Linked DNA regions of Caenorhabditis elegans. The protein of the gene in region 1 purifies or fractionates together with the protein of each later gene. This does not show direct contact. Each region holds a gene or a part of one and is shown on either strand. Other genes may lie near its edges. The genes, in order: tdpt-1 and ets-4.

Region 1 (5,989 bases):
GAGGCTAAAGCTACAAACTACAAAATCACCATAGCCTCACTCAAGCTTTGGCTAGTTTGGTTGAGGCTCACACTACAAACTACACTTGTTTCTTAGCCTCAACCAACATTTTTCAGTGTTTTTCCGGATTTTTTTTTGTCTAAAAAGCTCAAAAATGCAGCATTTTCGATGAAAATTCTGCAACATTTTGCATTTTCCCGCTCAAAATTGCGCTTTTCAGCTCAAAAATCGTTTTTTTTCGCTCAAAATCCTCCTTACCTTAATCTGCTCGACTTGCTTCTGCACATCGTGCACAGCCTCACGAGCTCTCGAGTCGACAACGACGGTCACGTCGAGCGTGGCTCCAGACGTGTGAAGAGCCAGCAGGAGGTCGCTATCCTCGGCGAGTGTCACCAAATCGCCTTCTAAAATTGACAAAAATTGAATTAAAATCGCAATTTTCAGTGCAATTCCTACCTTCATCCTTGTACTTCAACACGAAATTCGCGTCGGATGGGAGAGCCAAAAGCCGCTGCACATTGAGCACGAGATCGATGAGTGTCAAGTCGTTGGCGTGGTGAAGTGACGTCTTGCGGACGACGTCGGCGTGACGAGCCTTCAGAATTGTGCTCGTGATGGCTCCGTTTGAATGCACCATCTGGAAAAAACGGGGGTTTTTTAAAGGGAAAATTGGGTTTTGCGGGAGAAAAAGAAAGAAAAAAGCAAAAAAAAACCGGCGAAAATCAACTAGAAATCAAGAATTAAACACAGAATCCGAATTTTGGTGAGGCTCAGGCTACAAACTACGAAATTGGCTCAGCCTCACCCAAGTTTATCCGGAGCTCATATTTTTACGAAAATTTTGGATTTTCATGTGTTTTGACAGGAAAATTCGACTTTTTAGTTGAAATTCGACCTAAACGAGATCAAAGTTTCAAAATTAGAGCGGGAGTAGGCCAAAAATATGGTTTCATCGATTTTTAGGCGATTTTCCTATCGAAAATCTAAATTTTCGGCTCTAAAACCCACTTGAAACGCTATTTTCTAAGATTTTAAAGCAAGAAACCGGCAGAAATCAAGAAATAAAATAGTTCCACGTGTAATATAATAAAGCAATTCCATCGGAATCTCTAGATTTTCGCGGGTTTTCGGTATAAAAATCGGGATATGGCACATAAAATAAGTAAAGATCACGAAAATAGATCAAAATCTTCAAGATAATATTGAAAAAATTGCGAAACTAGGTCTAAAAAAATTCCACACGGATTTTCATCGTTTTTTGCCGGTTTTCTGGGGTTTTTTTATGGTGAAAATATCGATTTTAACCTCTAATACTCACTTTTCTTGCTATTTTTATGGATTTTCTGCAAGAAAACCAAGGAAAAATGGGAAAATAACGGGAAGAAAAACGATCCAAATCCGCGATATAAAATTCCACGTTCGGTAAAAGTGCGCCGCAGTTGCAACACGCGTGCCAGGATTGCAAATAGGGTACGCCCCCCGGCTAGACTCCGCCTTTTCAGTTATTCTTTTCGCGATTTTTTGAATTTCAATAGTTATCGTGTGGATTTTTCGCGTTTTCTGAAAAAATATGATAAAATCCTCTAATTTCAGCTCAAAAATGTCGAATTCTGACGATGAAATACAGGAAATTGAGGCTAAACGACAGAAAAGTAAGGCTTTGCAGCTGGAAATTCAAAATATTTGAATTTTAAATCAAATAAAATATATTTCAGTGTCCCAAGAAGATTCCGAGGTCGAAATCGAGATTCTAGATGAGCCGGAGCAAGGAAAACTGAAAAATTCGTCGAGTAAACCCGAAAAATCAATAAATTAAGGCGAAAATCCGCGATTTTTCAGTGAGCGACGAGCAAAAACTGCATGAATTTGCAATAATCACGGCCACAGATGAGGCTTTTGCGCAGTCGATTTTACAGGATGTAGACTGGGATTTGAAGAAGGCTCTGGACGTTTTTTACGGGAGTGAGGCGTTCGCAGAGGCCAGAAGTGCGGCCGTAATGGGCGCTTCATCGTCTATGGCGAGCTCTGGAGCTGCGGTGATGACGGCAGAGGATTTGAAGGTTAATAGAAGAATATTTGGAGCAAAATCAAGCCAAACCACCTAAAAACATCGATTTTCGAGTTAAAAAACCTCAAAAATGCTGCAATTTCCGTAAAATTTCAGTGATTTTTCACAGAAATCATTGAAAATTTGAAAAAAATCACTTTTTCAACCGGAATTCCGAAAAAAAAAATTGGTTGAGGCTCAGGCTACAAACTACAAAATCGGCCGAGCCTCACCAAAAATTTCCAAAGCGAAATCTGGCGAAAATACTTGAAATTTTCCTCATTTTTTATCAAAAAAACTAAAATTTCCATAAATTTTCATAGATTTCCTTCAAAAATCAGTAGAAAAACTAAAAAAAAATCACGCTTTCAACCGGAATTCCGAAAAAAAATTGGTTGAGGCTAAGACTACAAACTACAAAATCGGTATAGCCTCACCAAACATTTCCGAAGCATAATACTCGAAATTTCCCTCATTTTTCTTCAAAAAAGCTCAAATTTCCATAAAATTTCATGAATTTCCTTCGAAAATCTTTAGAAAAACTGAAAAAAATCACGCTTTTAACCTGAATTCCGAAAAAAAAATTGGTTGAGGCTAAGACTACAAACTACAAACTCGGCTTAGCCTCACCAAAAAAAAATTCACTTTTTTCGCGATTTTTCCAACAAATTTCAAATTTTTTCAGGGATTCGAAGTCAGCGTAATGTCGTGGAACATTGATGGGCTCGACGGGAGAAGCTTGCTCACAAGAATGAAAGCAGTGGCTCATATTGTCAAAAAGTGAGCAAAATCGGCGATTTTTCACGGAATTTTCAAATTTTTAGTTGATTTTGATGCAAAATCAGCAAAAAAATCACTAAAAACCGTCAAAAATCTTCAAAAATCAACCTGAAACGCCAAAAAAAAATTTCAGCGTCAATCCGGACATCCTATTCCTCCAAGAAGTCGTCGACCGTGATTTGGCGCCGATTGATAAGCTTCAATCGCTGTATAAAATCTATTATTCGAACAAAGGCTGCCAATATTATACGGCGATTCTTGTGTCGAAAATGTTCGACGTCGAGAAGCATGACGTCATTCATTTTCAGAATTCTGGAATGTACAGAACTTTGCAGATTTTGGAGGGATCTATTGGCGGTTTGAAGGTTAATTTTTCAGAAAATAGACGAAATTTTAAGAAAAAATCCCGGAAAACCGCTAAAAATGAGTGAAAATGATGGTTGAGGCTACCCAAATTTGTAATTTGTAGCCTGAGCCTCAATCAATTTTTATCGCAATAATCGAATTTTTCAGTTTTTTACTGAAAAAAAAGATTTTTTGAAAAATTCTCGCATTTTAATCCATTTTTTCAAAACAAAATATAAAAATTCCCGTAAAAATCAATCAATTTCCGCAAAAAATACCTTAAAATCGAGCAAAATGTATATTGGTTGAGGCTAACCACATTTGTAGTTTGTAGTGTAGGCCTCAACCAATTTTTCCCCTCAAATGTTTTCCCTCTTGTTTTTCTTGCAAAAAACTTCAAATTTTTACAGAAAATGGGATTTTCCACTGAAAAAATCTAGATTTTCAGGTTTTAAAATCAATTTTCGGTCAAATTTTACGGAAAATCCCTATGTCTTCCTGAAAATCTCTTTTTTGTTGTAAGATTTTCGAGATATAATTGATTTTTTTCAATCAGAATTCTGCAATTTCTAGCTGAAAATCACAGTATGTAGTGTGAGTTCGAAAAAAATTCGTTGAAACTTTGGTGAGGCTAACCAAATGTGTAGTTTGTAGCCTGAGCTTCAATCAATTTTATTTGTAATTTTTTTGAATTTTTCAATGATTTTTGTCGGAAATACATGAAATGTTATGGAAATTTGAGCTTTTTTGAGAAAAAATGTGGGAAATTTCGAGTATTTTCACCAGATTTCGCTCCGGAAATGTTTGGTGAGGCTAAGCCGATTTTGTAGTTTGTAGCCTGAGCCTCAACCAATTTTTTTTTCGGAATTCTGGTTAAAACCCTGATTCTTTCAGTTTTTCTTCTGATTTTTGAGGGAAATCCCTAGAATTTTGAAAATTTGGAGCTTTTTTTGAAGAAAAATGAGGGAAATTTCGAGTATTTTCATCAGATTTCGCTTCGGAAATGTTTGGTGAGGCTAAGCCGAGTTTGTAGTTTGTAACCTGAGCCACAACCACTTTCCCGAAAAAAAACTGAAGAATTTCCTCGTTTTAATTGATTTTTTTGAAAGAAAACTGAACATTTCTATTAAAATCATTCGCTTTTCGGCAAATTTAACAAATTTTTGTAGTTTGTAGCCTGAGCCTCAACCAATTTTCTCGTTTTTTGCAGGTATTCCTACTTAACACCCATCTCGAATCAACACGTGAGCACCGCCCGCAACGTTGTGCTCAATTCGGCTTCTGCATGGACAAAGTCCGTGAAATCATCGCTCAAAACCCGGGCGCCCTCGTCTTTTTCGGCGGCGATTTGAACTTACGAGACGAGGAGGTCAGCCGTGTGCCTGACGGTGTTAAGGATGCCTGGGAGGCTGCCGGCAGTGATAATAAGACAAAATTCACGTGGGACACCTTCAAAAATGACAATAAACAGGGATTCCATGGCGCTAAGATGAGGTAAAAGCGAAGAGACAAATAAAAAAGAAATAAAAAATATTTTGCCACACCGGGGGCTCGAACCCCGGTCGTGTGATTGGTAGACGGCGAAAAGCGCACTGAGCCATTCGATCATTTTTTAAAAAATAAACAAAAATCGATTTTTTTCAATTTTTTAAAAAATCTAAAAAGCTTCAAATTTTCAGATTCGACCGCCTATACTGGTCTGGACCACTGGACAAAGTCAAATTCACACTTGAAGGCCGCCAACGCATCCGTTCCTGTTTGTGCTTCCCATCTGATCATTGGGCTATCAATGCCACGTTTTTTGCCTGAAATAAGCCTTAAATAAGCCTTAAATCATCATTTTTTACCCATTTTCACTTGTTTTTCGACCGGTTTTCACTATTTTTACCCAGGAATTACCTCCCAGTTGTCACCGGGTTTTAATCTTTTTTTTTCATCTAAGCTCCCTTTTTTTTGAAAACTCGTTGTTTTTATTGATCTTCGATTTTCGATACTGATTGTAAATAAATCCACTTTTTTTTTTCTTTTAAAACTATAGAAAATCGCTCATTTTTTGGAAAAAAAAATTGGCGCCTAAAAAAATTAGAAAATTGAAATTTTGGGATAAAAAAATATTTTATTTTTTAAATTTCGAGCTTTAAAATAACAAATTTCATCTCAAAACCACTACAAATAGAAAATAAAAATTTTTGCCACATTGCGGACTCGAACCCCGGTCTTGTGATTGGTAGCCGGCGAAAATCCCACTGCGCCATTCGGACACTTTTTTTTTCGAAAAGCTTAAAACTCGATTTTTCTGATTTATAAGCCTCTAGATGATTGTTATTATCTTAAACTATAGGAAAAATCGTTTTTAGAAGAAAATAACTAGAAAATTGATAATTTCGACTCAAAACCCAACTTTCAAAAACTTTTTGTTCTAAATTTCTAGGTTTTGAGGTTTTAAATTGCTAAAAATCACATCAAATTGGCAAAAAATTGAAAATATTCGCCACGCCGCGGACTCGAACCCCGGTCTCTTGATTGGTAGCCGGCGGAAATCCCACTGCGCCATTCGGACAATTTTTTTAAAATTGCTCAGAAAATTTTGTTATGTTAGGCCTCTAGGGGTGTTGTTTAGCCACAGAAAAAATAAATATATCGGTTTGGAAATTTTTAGAAGCAAAAAAAACTAGAAAATTGATAAATTCGACTTTTTAAAAACTTTTCCTTCTAAATTTCTAGATTTTTCCGTTTTAAATTGCTCAAAATTACCTAAAACTCACAAAACATGCAAAATAAAAAATAGTTGTCACAGCGCGGACTCGAACCCCGGTC
Region 2 (6,069 bases), on another chromosome or scaffold:
TCTGCGAATTGCCGCTGCCTCATTTTTGACGAAAAGCACAAAACACCAAGTCAAATAATTCTCGCGACAGCAGGGTATTTTTGTCATTGTGGAGATACAACGCATGTGAAAAAAAAACAATAATTCTCACAATGATTTTAAGTTTTCATTTCCCTTTTGTTTCTTGATAGGCAGCTCACAAAAAATTGCTGAGTGCGCTTTTTTATCAGCAGTTTAGTTCGCTGCTTCAAATTTCACTTTTTTTAAATGTTTTCTTTTTTCCAGCGATAAACACGGGTTACATGATTTAGTGATTTATGATGCAAATCGTAATCAATCACGAGAATTTTAGACTTATCAATGGCTTAAACTGTGGCACTGAAATGCAAAAGTTGAGCATATCAGAATATTATCAAATACGTAATTTTTTTGCAAGTTTATAAGGCGACAAACAAAATCAGACAGTGCGTCATAATTTCTTTGCAACATCAGCCAGCTAAATGTGTTTTGACTCCAGGGAACGTTAATGGACAATGAAATCAAAAAAAAAATAGGAGCAAAAATCGACCCACGCATCATCACAATTCCAGAGAGAATTGTGTGCACTTTCATACCGATTGATTCTTAGGATTTTCATTCGTCAAGATAGCTTGTTAGTTATTAAAACTTATTACCTTAGAGTCCACTACTTAGTATAGACTTGAAACACATTTCAAAACATTTCAACCGTGTCATTATTTTTCAATTTATAGATTCACCCATGTTTCTGGTCCGCCACGTTGTAGCTTGTTTATTCAATGACGTGCATTCCCAATTTCTAGCAATAAACCTGTTTCCAATTTTCATGACATCCTAACTCTTTATAATGAAAAAAATTGTGCACAATGCACATTCTTTTTTCTTCTTTACCTGTACTCCTTATGTAGTATGAATAAGAAAAGGTTTGTTCATTTGCATTGAATTATGGGGGGATGGCGCGGCGTAGTTTGCACCATTGAAAGAGGTCCCATCGTGTCTGACACGACCAACCTGACTCATCAATTTTAGAACCCTTCCCCCCCCCCCCCCCCACCCCCACACTTTTGTTCAAGCTCAGTACATTTTATTTATTATTTTATTATATTCGATCGGCTCAGTGATTGATCTTTTTTTAGTTTTTTAGTCGATGTCTTGCGAATATGTATTTGATATCGTCTTTTCAACCACAAATTTTTTCAAACTCTTCTCACGTTTTATTTAATGACGTTTCAGTATTTTGTCAGCAATTAGATCAGTTTTCAATTCAATATTGAATTGGTGTGCAACATGATTCACTGATAAAAATGGGCTTTTGCCCCCTAATTGACGCAATCAATGCTAACTCTCCAACAAACATATTTCGTGTAATAGATCATCGAGTTTTCAATTCAGTTTTCCATTGGCGCCATCAATTTCATTTTGTTACTTATCAGCTTATTTCTGGAAAAGCTTGGTTTCATGTGACACTGAGCGAGGCAATGATTAGGAGTGTCACACTAGTCAACCTCACGCGCGCCAGAAATCGCTTGACGCTCTGCTGATAACTTTTCCGAGTCGAAGCAAAAAAAGGGGTTGGGAATAGCGAAAATTAGCGATAAAATAAAATTTGACTGATTAACAGTGCCACTTTATTCGTTACTACTCTAGTGCACAAACAGGTCGACACTACTCTTCGGTCTCGACTTAACCTACCATCTTCAGTACTAACTTTTATTACTATCTCACTTGTACTGTTCAATATGACTGCTGCTTATTGTACGTATACCCTCTCTCATCATAGTGTTTATTTGAAAGATAAATCTTCTAATTTCCAGGCGAGACCCAATTTCATGGTTTGAACCAATTCGCGTTCCCGTTCAACAACTTGGAATACAAGTACGGAAGTTGTAAGTCTGACGGTTGGAATTATAATATTTCCAATAGTATTTTGTCACTCTAGATTCTTCATCAATGAACGGTACTGGCTCAGTCGGTCACAGATGGAATTCTCTGAGCCCGGAGCCACATTCCGGAACGGAGTCAACCGCAAGCACTCCTTTTGTTAAAAGCGAGTTCCCATTTGATGATGATCTATTCGGAATCGACCAGGTAAGTTTTTGTCTTCTTCTTTTTTGAGACCATGTGGGTGTGGTTGCGTTAATTATTTTATGCCTGCTCTGAAAACTGGTTATGATTACCAAAATTGAAGTTTGAAATAAGAACGTTTTTGGGAAAATGAGAGTAACAAACACACCTTACTCATTTTTATCAATCAGTTGAATCATCAATGTTTTTTTAAACGCAAGTTAGCTTCAATAATTTTTTGCTATTTTGAAATTTAGTTTACTTTATTTGTTCTCATATTCATTTTCTTTCACAGTAAGACACGTGCGTGCTATTTACGTCATAGATGCGATAATTGATAAGACCCGATTGATGGAGAAAATAGAGAAATAATTTTTTGAGTGACTTTTTTTGCATTTTAATCACGTTGGAAACAATCACAATGTACAACTATTTTAGGTAAACAACGTCAAACCACATCCGATGGATATGCCATGCAATCTTCCAATCCAACCCATCGAGTATAACCGTCGATTCTCAAAGGTAGTTTTACTGATTATCACACTGACCCCTCTGTATTATTATAATTTGCAGGACGCCGATCACAGCACGTTTGTGAAGAATGAGATTGAAGGTTGGTACTTTAGATGGATTAGATACATACAAACACCATTAACGACTGTTTTGAATGGTGTCAATCATAATCTCGGGTTCTTTTAACGCCTTCTTCTCCCTTTCGGACTTTCACTATCCCTTCATCGAAAAACATCTCATTTCGTTTGGCGGGAGATACTATTGAGAAAACACGTTTTCCTTCGATTAGGGTAGTTAGGCACAGGTCAGCTTTTTCTCTGGCTGACGGCACGCCTGGATTGACCAGTGAAAGTTTTCCAAGCGGCTACCGAATTAGTTGTGGGTCGGGGTCATGTTTTTTTAAGCTGCTTTGGCTAACCACAATAGAAAACAAAGTTGTGACCCATTACAAAGTAAAAAAGAAAAGGGCTTAGATATTAGGAAGATATGGAAATGTGTCAGGGTTAGAAAAGTGCGGGTGATACATGGATATGCATCAATGCTTGTTGTTTGAATGTTTACCACGAAAAAGTTCCAGAAAACATTCTCAATTTCAATGTCAATCCGGAGATTGCGCAAGACAACGGTCTTGACACCCAGCAAATTGACATCTACAGGGACCTGATTCTCCGTCATCTGATTCAAGACATCAGTACAACTTGTGCCAAATTGGGACTTCCAAATGGTACATTACTTATCCACAATACCTCATTTATATTTTTGGTCTCTAGATTTCTACCTGTGGTCATCCGAGCATGGAGCACGATGGATCAACGAGATGTGCATGCAATTCAATCTTCAGCCGCCTAGAAACTGTTCAATCACTGGTATTGATTTGCTCGGCATGAGTCAAAAAGATTTCGAAATGATTTTGCCGGCGGGAGGCGACACGTTGCATGCCCAACTCCAAGTGTGGAAGACCGGTACGTCAGATTACGTGAAAGGTGATGCGATTAGCATGACTATAAATCACGCCCTTTTTCTGATTGTCATCATGACGGTTATCAGTGACATGCTCACACGAAAACGAGACACCAATCCAATTCAATTTCAGCATTTGAAAACTATCATCCACCCGTGACCGTTCAGAGCTCCGGAATGACCGCTGCCGAAAATAACATGCAGTCAAAAACTAATTGGGTATGTAAATGTTGATTATGTCATTCCTCAGAATTTTCGGCGCGCAGTCTTTTTGTACCCCTATTTGCTCAATGCGTTTTTTTCATAAAGCCTTCTCGTATTTTTAGCTAGCCAGCACCAACAATCAAACAAACAACATGGCAGCTGCTGAGAACCCGAATCATCCATTTTTCAATGGAAACGGTTGGTTTCGAACCGGAAGCGTTTGATGTGAATAAGTAAATTGTATTTATAGGAGGGTATCCAAACATGTCGATGAGCAGCTTCTTTCAACAGGGAACTGTTTTGCCATCGCCAAGCAACAGCGATACCAGCAGCAATGGGAGCAGTCAAGACAGTATGACACGGGCTTATTAGTACTGTAACTAATTCAGAGTTTTTTAGTGAATGACGATGATATTGATCTTCACATGAACAATTCGAACTGTGGTTTCTCAAACTTCTTTCACAACCAGGGTTACATGAACTCCCCTATTGACGCAATGTGCAACGGAAGCGAGGGAGATGACGATGAGCGTGCCTACACTCGTCATCAAGGAACTGTTCATCTGTGGCAGTTTATTCGTGAGCTTTTGGATCAACCAAAACAGTACAGTGCATGTGTTCGATGGGTGGATAGAGATGAGGGAACTTTTAAAATCGAGTCTTCCCTCCTGCTGGCTAGATATTGGGGACAACGAAAAAACCGTTCACAGATGAATTATGACAAGTTGTCCAGAAGTCTTCGACAGTACTATAAGAAAGGTAAAAAGAATAGGAGGAAGTGTAAAACAAAAACGTTACAAATCAATATTCCAGGAATCATCCAAAAGCCGGAAAAGAAGCAGCGTTTGGTGTACAAATTCCTGCCTCCTTATAACTTGTAGTCATCTGGCAGAAAGACAACGACGTGTTGCTATCTGTGTATGTGTCAATACTCTGTTTACATTTTTCAACTTGTCCTGTCGGTCCAGTGTGGTCCCATTTCCCGATATCTGTGATTCAAGATATACTTCCATGTACTGTTCGTTGTAGAACATATTCCTATTGTGTCCCATACTTCTTTTTAATACCCGAGTCAATCATTCAAGGTTTTATTCAACTTCTTTATTTTCTTTTTTTTTCTCATTCTTTTTCAATTGTTGGGAACAATCAAAAAGTATTACAAATGTTATTACCATTTAGAGTGTGTAGTTCAGATGTCTGAATATTGTTTCACTCGATTTATTTATTGTAATGCAATATTTACCGGTTTGAAACCGTGCAATATGTTGTTCTCTATTTATTCTCGTTCTCATGTCAGAACTCTTCCTCTCTCCCAAATACTTTACCAAATAACGGCTCATATATCCACCAGTGACAGAAAAATAAGCGTTTTACTGAACTGTTCCCGATTGTATTTATACCAATATGATTATGTTAATTATAACAATTATAATATTGTATCAAAAAAATGTTTTAATTTTACATTCCATTTATACTCCAGCCTCCTTCCCCTGTTTACTAGCCTAGTTATCCCCCAAAGAAATTGTATTACAACAATGTGTAGTCCCAGTGTTTTTTTATATCATTGTGCAATTATTTATTCAGATTGTATTATATATTAATGAACCAGATAAATATTTTTTCAAAATATAAAACTTGGCTTTTAGCAAAACTAAAGATAAACATGAAAATGAAGGAAAGCTTTGAAAAGATGAATTATGAAACACAACGAATTTCGAATTCAACATTTAATTTCTCAATCAAAGTAGATCATCCTAGATATCCCATTTGATTGAACGACTCTGTATCCGATTGTGCAAGTCCAAAGGTCTCATAATCTGTGAAGAATTGCTGAAACAGAGAACGAAGGGTCATTACGTCAATACTTTTTTTGCTGAGCTACCTGTCCATTTCCATTATCATTGAGTGACATTTGTCCTCCGGCAGTAAAATAGTGTGGCTGATGGAGAAACGCTGAAAAGAGCAAAGATAAGCGGTGACCACGGATGGCTTGTTTGCGGTTACATGGGAATCGCAATGCAAAACACAAAAATCATCAACTGAAATTGATTGATACTTGCGGAAACTATAAGACACATATGAATGTAAATTTGAAATTTTCACGTAGAAAAACCTGAAAATAATTACATTTATCAAAAAAAAATGCCAACACATCAAATATATCGACATTTTAAAATAACCTTCTCGATGTGAAAGTTTTTTTGAAATCACCAATTAGATTTTAAAACGTCATCTCACAAAACGATAAAAATAATAAATATGGTTTTTTTTTCTAAAATTGATATATGATGAATTTTTAGTATTCAGTAAAAGGAAGATTTCTAGAATATA

What was found.
Region 2: the proteins of tdpt-1 (region 1) and ets-4 purify together in Caenorhabditis elegans (affinity purification with western blotting, with the first as the bait; one study listed by BioGRID). This does not show direct contact.

Annotation. Positions count from the first base shown.
Region 1 is NC_003279.8:14,096,695-14,102,683, reverse strand, and holds tdpt-1 (5'-tyrosyl-DNA phosphodiesterase), read left to right. Parts: upstream 1-1,593; 5' UTR 1,594-1,600; coding exon 1,601-1,652; intron 1,653-1,715; coding exon 1,716-1,790; intron 1,791-1,839; coding exon 1,840-2,060; intron 2,061-2,732; coding exon 2,733-2,827; intron 2,828-2,960; coding exon 2,961-3,192; intron 3,193-4,382; coding exon 4,383-4,666; intron 4,667-4,851; coding exon 4,852-4,981; 3' UTR 4,982-5,192; downstream 5,193-5,989. Other genes in the region: Protein tfg-1, read right to left, coding at 259-404, 457-637.
Region 2 is NC_003284.9:6,517,296-6,523,364, forward strand, and holds ets-4 (Transcription factor ets-4), read left to right. Parts: upstream 1-1,640; 5' UTR 1,641-1,736; coding exon 1,737-1,752; intron 1,753-1,811; coding exon 1,812-1,883; intron 1,884-1,936; coding exon 1,937-2,085; intron 2,086-2,499; coding exon 2,500-2,583; intron 2,584-2,634; coding exon 2,635-2,674; intron 2,675-2,787; exon of another isoform or gene 2,788-2,996; intron 2,997-3,151; coding exon 3,152-3,298; intron 3,299-3,344; coding exon 3,345-3,536; intron 3,537-3,667; coding exon 3,668-3,753; intron 3,754-3,860; coding exon 3,861-3,936; intron 3,937-3,988; coding exon 3,989-4,090; intron 4,091-4,137; coding exon 4,138-4,497; intron 4,498-4,551; coding exon 4,552-4,619; 3' UTR 4,620-5,361; downstream 5,362-6,069. Other genes in the region: Homeobox protein ceh-60, read right to left, coding at 5,488-5,568, 5,621-5,691. UniProt on the Caenorhabditis elegans protein: Transcription factor which binds to 5'-GGAA/T-3' DNA consensus sequences. Both positively and negatively regulates the expression of target genes. Plays a role in the regulation of adult lifespan, which may in part be through modulation of daf-16 activity.